Linked DNA regions of Caenorhabditis elegans. The protein of the gene in region 1 interacts with the protein of each later gene in a pairwise test. Each region holds a gene or a part of one and is shown on either strand. Other genes may lie near its edges. The genes, in order: mdh-1 and pqn-54.

Region 1 (3,795 bases):
AATAAGACAATATCTCTTGGACTGAAAAATTATGTTCATACAGTATATGTGCGCATATTAACATATGTGTTTTTGTGAAATCTAATTTTTTAAATTCAACCCTTTTCTTGGTGAACTTTTCGAAACCTTTTACACACTCGTAATTTCGCGAAATTTTAACATGTCAGTTTAAAGACACATGCTGTTTTTTCTTAGGCATGATGGTCACATTTCTCAGGCATGATGGTCACATTTATTAAATGAAAAAAATACAGGAAAAAAATTGCGCGAGAGAAAGAACCGCCCATTTTTCCGGAGACTGCTTTACAGATTTTTTTGACATTTGGATTTGCTCTACCCGCAAATTTCTGAATTCTATCTTCGTTTCTAGTGTTTCGGTGATCATCAAGCCCACTTTGACATTTCTATTCATTTTACACTTTTTCCAGTGGTTTATGACGGTTTTTTCTATTGTTTTTTGCCTTTCCAAAAAAATTTTTTTCACTGCTACGACTTTAAAGGGGGACACATTTATTACGCGGAATGGTCTCGACACGCGCGGCAAATTATTAAAAATTTTTGGTGTGTGCGCCTTTAAGATTACTATATTAATTTTTCTGTCAAATCTTCATCGATTTTTCTCGTTTTCTCCCTTTTCTTCGGTTTTGACTGTTTCTTTTCTCAATTTTCTGCATTTTATGTATTAAATTTATGTTCAGGTGATCATTCATAACTGAACACTCATCAATGATCCACGCGTCATGTGCGAAATCGTTCTTTGAACTTTAACCGCGGTTAAAGTTTCCTCCGTTTTATAACCGCTACTTTGTCGCCGCTTATTTACAAATGACCTTTCTTCTCATTGCGCTTATAAAAGTTCTCTAAAACCTCGAGATTTGACGTGAAAGTTTTCATTCTACACTTCTCCGAGTAGATCTTTTTGTGCAGATTTTCACTTTTTTTTGCTCTTCTCTCTGATGACCTCGTGTCTTGGAGGGCGTATTCTCTTCGGCAGTTTACGTGACAAACAACAACTTTTCTGCCATTCTCACTCTCTCTTTTCACTTGTCTAGTTTACAGCGGTCGGCCTTGGTCATCGGGAATCTCCCAGTGATAATCATTTATTTGTTGCTTTGTCTGCTCTTTTGGTTTTGCGAGGACTCACTAATAATTCTGAAAATATTTAATGTTTCTATTTATTTTCAATTCTCTAAAATTCTCGATTTGAATTAGCGCCAACGAATTTTCCCATTAGAGCGCATTTTCTGCCTACTCAACATGGAGTTTTACGATTTTGTTTTCTGCATTTTTTCTCCTATCTTCGCGAAATTTTCTAATTTTACTCGGTGATTTTACAAATTCTTATCTATTTCGTGGATCAAATCAATACACGCTCTCGTTTCTCAAGTTCTGTTCAAAGTGCCATCGATTTGAAACGTTCGGCGCCGTAGGGTTTGTTGACAAGTTGAGAGTGCTTCGTTGGACAGCGAAACGAGAGAAAACCACGGGCGGCGCCAATAGTCTCTTCTGTTCACGTCATCTCTCGTTGCCTCGCTTCCTTAGCTGGACTATTATTTTTTTCTATTTGTTTGGTTCGTCTTCAATACATAGAAGTGTGTACCACAAAAATCTTTTACATCTTATCACTTCCAACTGTTATTTTATGATTCGACAACAATCTCTTTATCTGGTCAATCGTTTTTGTTGTTCTTTCTCTTTCATTTTCATTTTTGCTCCTCTAAAACGTGCGTTTCGGCAGTTTTTTCTCCGGACATTTTTTATTGAATTCTCGAATTGTCTGAATATTCTATTTGCTTCGATTCACACATTTCTTAGTGTAAATTGCTAAATTTTCAGAATGTCCGCCCCACTTCGCGTTTTGGTCACCGGAGCCGCTGGTCAGATCGGTTACTCGATCGTCATCCGCATCGCCGACGGAACTGTATTCGGAAAGGAACAACCAGTGGAGCTCGTTCTTCTCGACGTCCCACAATGCTCCAACATTCTCGAAGGAGTTGTTTTTGAGCTCCAGGATTGTGCTCTTCCAACCCTTTTCAGCGTTGTTGCTGTCACTGATGAAAAGTCGGCCTTCACCGGTATCGACTACGCTTTCTTGGTCGGAGCCATGCCAAGACGCGAGGGAATGGAGCGCAAAGATCTTCTTGCTGCCAACGTCAAGATCTTCAAGTCACAAGGAAAGGCTCTTGCTGAGTATGCCAAGCCAACCACCAAGGTGAGATCAGAATTCACAGTTAAACTTTCAATATTTCCATTACTTTCAGGTTATCGTTGTTGGAAACCCAGCCAACACCAATGCATTCATTGCTGCCAAGTACGCCGCCGGAAAGATCCCAGCCAAGAACTTCTCTGCCATGACCAGATTGGACCATAACCGTGCTCTTGCTCAACTCGCCCTTAAAACCGGAACAACCATCGGAAATGTCAAGAACGTTATCATCTGGGGAAATCACTCTGGAACTCAATTCCCAGATGTCACCCACGCTACCGTTAACAAGAACGGAACTGAGACCGACGCTTACGCCGCTGTCGGAGACAACGCTTTCCTTCAAGGACCATTCATCGCCACTGTCCAAAAGCGTGGAGGAGTCATCATTGAGAAGAGAAAGCTCTCGTCTGCAATGTCTGCCGCTAAGGCCGCTTGTGATCACATCCACGACTGGCATTTCGGAACCAAGGCTGTAAGTTTAATTATTTTAAAACTTGAATGAAGATTTTATTTTCCAGGGGCAATTCGTCTCCATGGCTGTCCCATCCGATGGTTCATACGGAATCCCACAAGGACTCATTTTCTCATTCCCAGTTACCATCGAGGGTGGCGAATGGAAGATTGTTCAAGGTCTTAGCTTCGACGATTTTGCCAAGGGAAAGATCGCTGCTACCACCAAGGAACTCGAGGAGGAGAGAGATGATGCTCTAAAGGCTTGCGATGATGCCAACATCTAAATTTTCCCCATAAATTATAACGATTTCCCAACCGCTCCCTTAAACTTAAAATGTAAAAAAAGAAGTAGGCCGTCTTGTCGTTTTTGTAAATGTATTATGTATTCAGTTATTGAACAATGAATTTATTGCATCTTCGGATCGAATTGTTTCAATCTATCTTTCGAAATAACTTGTGACTCGTTTCTGATTTCGTATATCTGTTTATTTCTGGAAGCTAGCAATCAATCTGCCAACGTGGAGGATATGGGTTTGCAAGAATAAAGAAGAAGACAAATCATCTGTACAGAAAGCAGGTTCTAGGCGAGAGAATCGCGAGAAGTAGCGAAATGAGGGTACGAGGAAGAGGCGGTGTGTTGACCATTCATTCCAGCAATCCTTATTCCTTCCGTGTTGGATAACGACCTGTCCCCAGGCGTTTCTATGGCTTTTTCCTCCCATTTTGATCGTTGAAACAGAGATGTTTGCTTTTTTAGAATTAAATTTATGCAACTTTTTAGACTGTGCACTTAAATAGAAGATCTAGAAATAATTAAACGAATTTTAAATGCATAGTCGCAGTAGTAATAGTAAATTGACTAAAGAAAATCATTTTTTAATTTTTAAACAATTTTTAATGAAAGTTTATCTCTGAATCTTTTGAATATCCCTTGTGTAAATTTGTACTTGACCAATTGTTCCAAATTTGTAAATATCAGTTTTTGCAGAAGCAACTACTTTTCGTTGAAAAAATTCACTTTTAAAATAGTGAGACTAGGTGAAAATGTTGTGAATTTTGGCATTTATAGCTACCACGATCGTGGCGAGACCCACTCAGATTAACAGCGTGTGCCTTTAAGTGACTTTTGACTTTTT
Region 2 (3,827 bases), 5.1 Mb from region 1:
GCAAAAAACTGCTGAACAACCAATCCCAGTAGTCCTGAAGTGGCGACACTGTATCGCTTTTCGAAGAATGCGTAGGAAAACGCTCCAAGGATCGCAGTCACGGATCCATAGGATCTGAATGCTCCGATAACAAATTCCGGAAGCCCTACACTTGAGCCATATCCTACAGCTAATCCATCAAATCCCATCACTGTCATGAATAGAAGACTCATTCCAAATGCAGCTGGGAATGAGATCTGGCACCAGTACGTGTAAACCACAGATTCTTTGAGCCTTGAATTGGCGAATGGGTCTAGCGCTTCATCTTTCTTGTCTTTCTTCACTTGAAGCAGAGGATTGGAGATGTAGATTGCTCTAAGGAAAATGGTTTTTGAAGCCATTGAAACAAGAGAGGCTATACCAAATATTCCAACTGTTTCACGAAGACCAACCCAGGTCACCAGAGCCTTAACTTAGTTTGTTTTTACTTTGGAATTAAAAAGCGAACACAGAACTAACACCAGTTACTAACGGTGCAATAACATTGGTACATTGATCCAATGTCAACAGAGTTGCGTTCATATTCGACAGTGTACCATCATTTCCGAGTACCATAACCCAATCTCTGCCTGTGATGAACTTTTCCGCGTTCAGGAAAAGCCGGTTCACCGCGCATATGCACATTGCTAGAACCAGGCAGACTATGTACCACGGTGACGTGGCATCGATAGACAGACAAGCTTAAAATATTTTAGCTTCGAGTACCTACATCAGTGTCAAATTAGAACTCACTGATAATAAGAGCAGCTGCAGCACAAATACTCAAATTGTTCAACGGTACGACGGTCATGATTGCTGAAATTGAAAACTTGATTTTCTCTTACAAATACTCACGAAATAAGTATTTGATTGTAGTTTTTGTTAGGTCAATGTGATACTTGAACAAATCATTTTTGCAGTAATCGAAATTTGTAAAAATGAATCGTTCACGTGGAGTCAGAACGTCCCATTTTGCTGTGATCTTCGAAAAATGCGAGAGAAGAGACGCAGAGATCTCATCTGATTTTGCATGGTTAAGAGCGTGCTGACGTCACAATTTTTCTGGTAAAATATTCCCATTTGTCGTAGATCGAACCGCAATGAGGCAGGCTGACACCACGGGATCGTTTAGTTGTCTACCGTACCCCGTTTCCTCGAGAGCCCGTCGAAATGCTTTCCTAAATATCCGCTGAGAAACATTTGCAAGACTCCCTCGAAAAGCTGCTCAATGGAAACCACTCTCATACCACCCATCAGGTCCATACAAAGAGAGACACAGAATGACCAAGCCCTGTCTTCCTGTAAATAGTATCGAAAAATTGAATGTTCATGTTTTTCCACATTGAACTAAAAAACAATTTTGAAGTTTATAAAAGTATGCGAATTTCTTTTTTTTTCTTCCTAGTTTTAAATTCCCTCTACACTCACCAAGCATGTCGAAATATAGGCACAATACAAAAATATGCTCGTTTTCGAAAGGGTGCCACTGTTTCGTCGATTATTCGGTTGTTGAAAAGTCATTGTCACAGGAATCAAACTGGAAATCTCTGCACTTCCATCGCCCGCGACACACTTACTGATTTCCATGTTAGCGATAACCTCTATATATTCTGTGATAACGGGCAGGAAGTTCAACAAAGTGTTGGTGCACATACATCATGAATTTTTTCTCTTGTCAATCAAAGATTATTTGAATAGGCCACTCGAGTGCACTGCTCACCGTCTCTTTTTTTTTCATCTTTGCTCGTCTTACCGAACACTTTTTCACGCGATAAATTGTTTGCCGCGCGGCATGAGAAGGCGGAAGATGGTTGGGATAGTTTCAAGCGAGATGGTATATAAGCCCACAATCAAATGGAAATACTCATCCGATACTTTCGGCTCTAATCATGCGCTTCACCTCCCTCGCCATTGCCTTCTTCGCCTGCGCCCTAGTGGTGTCTGTAAGTTGTGCAAGATCTAAAAATTTGAGTCTACGAATATTAATTTTCAGGGCAATGTGCTTCGTGAGAAGAGACAATGCGGATGTGCTCAACCCCAGCAGAGCCAATGCTCGTGCCAACAGGTTCAACAGACTCAATCGTGCTCGTGCCAATCTGCTCCAGTTCAGCAACAATCCCCATCATGCTCTTGCGCTCAACCACAACAAACCCAGAATGTTCAGGTTACTAGCAAACTTATGCTATAGCTCCAAAGAGAGACTTTCAGGTCCAAACCACTCAATGTGCTCCAGCTTGCCAACAGAGCTGCACCCAACAATGCCAGGCTGCACCATCGGTAGCCCAGTGCCAGCCACAATGCCAACAGCAGTGCCAATCCCAGTGCGCTCCAATGTACAATCCACCAGCCACCACCACACCAGCTCCAGTCGTCCAATGCCAGCCAATGTGCCAACAGCAGTGCCAATCCACCTGTGTTCAGCAACAACAACCAGCTTCCCAATGCCAGCCACAATGCCAGCAACAGTGCAACGTTGCCTGCGATGCTCCAGCCACATCCACTCAGGCACCACAAGTAGTCCACATCCAACTCGAGATCCAACAGGCTCAAGCTCAATGCCAACCACAGTGCCAGCAACAGTGTCAATCATCCTGCACCCAACAACAACAGCCAGCTAACCAGTGCAATTCGGCTTGTAACAGCCAGTGCTCCAACATTTGCCAACAAACTGCTCAAGCCACTCAACAGGTCTACAACCAGAACTCTAACACCAACACCCAAATGTACAATCCATACAACAACAACAACCAAGGTTCCGGATCCGCCAACTGCGCCCCAGCCTGCCAGCCAGCCTGTGACAACTCCTGCACTTCTCAGACTCCAGCTCCAATGTACAACCCATACGATGCCAGCACATCCGCCCCAGCATCTTCCCAAGCTGTGATCCAAATCGTTCTCCAATCCTCCGTCGCCCAGTCCTCCCAGTGTACTCCACAATGCGAGCAGTCGTGCCAGCAGCAATGCGTTCAGCAACAACAACCAGCCGCTCAGTGCCAGTCTGCCTGCCAGGACTCGTGCTCCAGCTCCTGCCAAGCCGCTCAGCCAGCGACTACGGCTTGCCAGCAGAGCCCACAAAGCCCACAAAACTCGTGCTCCTGCCAAGCTAACTACTCTCCATGCGGAAATGGACAGTGCTGTAGAAGAAAGTGAACGGACTCTGAACAATGACTTCAAGTTTTTGTATATAATGAAACCAATTAGTTTCACAAGAACTTAATAAACAACTTTGATATTTTAATTGATTTACATTATTTGGTTTTTTATTGTCTAGAAAATGAACAATGACTACAAAACTTATAGCTGGCTCACAGTTTATTGACTAGATTAGCACTAAAAAATAACATGGCCGCTTTTCAAGGAAAGGTTTTTATTTTATTTTATTTTTTAATGTCAGACTTCAAAACGAGACAAGTGCCATTTAAAAGTGTTCCATAAGGATATATTACTACAAAATTTTAAGCGGCAAAGCTCCACTCTCAACCCCTCTAGCATCGATCTGAAACTGTTACAGTGCACTTCTTCACTACTTTGGAGGCCTGTAGAATTGCTCCAAATTTTTTTTGTTGCAAACTTTCAATGTTTTTCAAAACGGTTAAAAGTAGGTAAGCATTCTGGAAAATTTTTGAAAATTTTTAAATTTTTTCAAAAAATCTGAAAAATTTTTGAACCGAGTGGAGTGGATTGAGGAAATTTTTAGATTTTTTTTTCAAAAATTTTTTAAAATTTTTAAAAATTTCCCAGAATGTAAACTTATTTCTAGCCGTTCTAAAAAACATTGAAAATTTGCACAAAAAAAATCAGGACCAATT

The links.
Region 2: the proteins of mdh-1 (region 1) and pqn-54 interact in a two-hybrid assay, tested with the Caenorhabditis elegans proteins (one large-scale study listed by BioGRID).

The regions. Positions count from the first base shown.
Region 1 is NC_003283.11:6,514,568-6,518,362, reverse strand, and holds mdh-1 (Malate dehydrogenase, cytoplasmic), read left to right. Parts: upstream 1-1,836; 5' UTR 1,837-1,837; coding exon 1,838-2,212; intron 2,213-2,261; coding exon 2,262-2,678; intron 2,679-2,724; coding exon 2,725-2,943; 3' UTR 2,944-3,080; downstream 3,081-3,795. Other genes in the region: F46E10.3 (F-box domain-containing protein), read right to left, coding at 1-39. UniProt on the Caenorhabditis elegans protein: Catalyzes the reversible conversion of (S)-malate to oxaloacetate in the cytoplasm where oxaloacetate is used for gluconeogenesis.
Region 2 is NC_003283.11:1,463,107-1,466,933, forward strand, and holds pqn-54 (Prion-like-(Q/N-rich)-domain-bearing protein), read left to right. Parts: upstream 1-1,883; 5' UTR 1,884-1,907; coding exon 1,908-1,961; intron 1,962-2,011; coding exon 2,012-2,182; intron 2,183-2,226; coding exon 2,227-3,168; 3' UTR 3,169-3,254; downstream 3,255-3,827. Other genes in the region: fpn-1.2 (Solute carrier family 40 member), read right to left, coding at 1-446, 499-719, 772-834, 1,164-1,317, 1,447-1,539.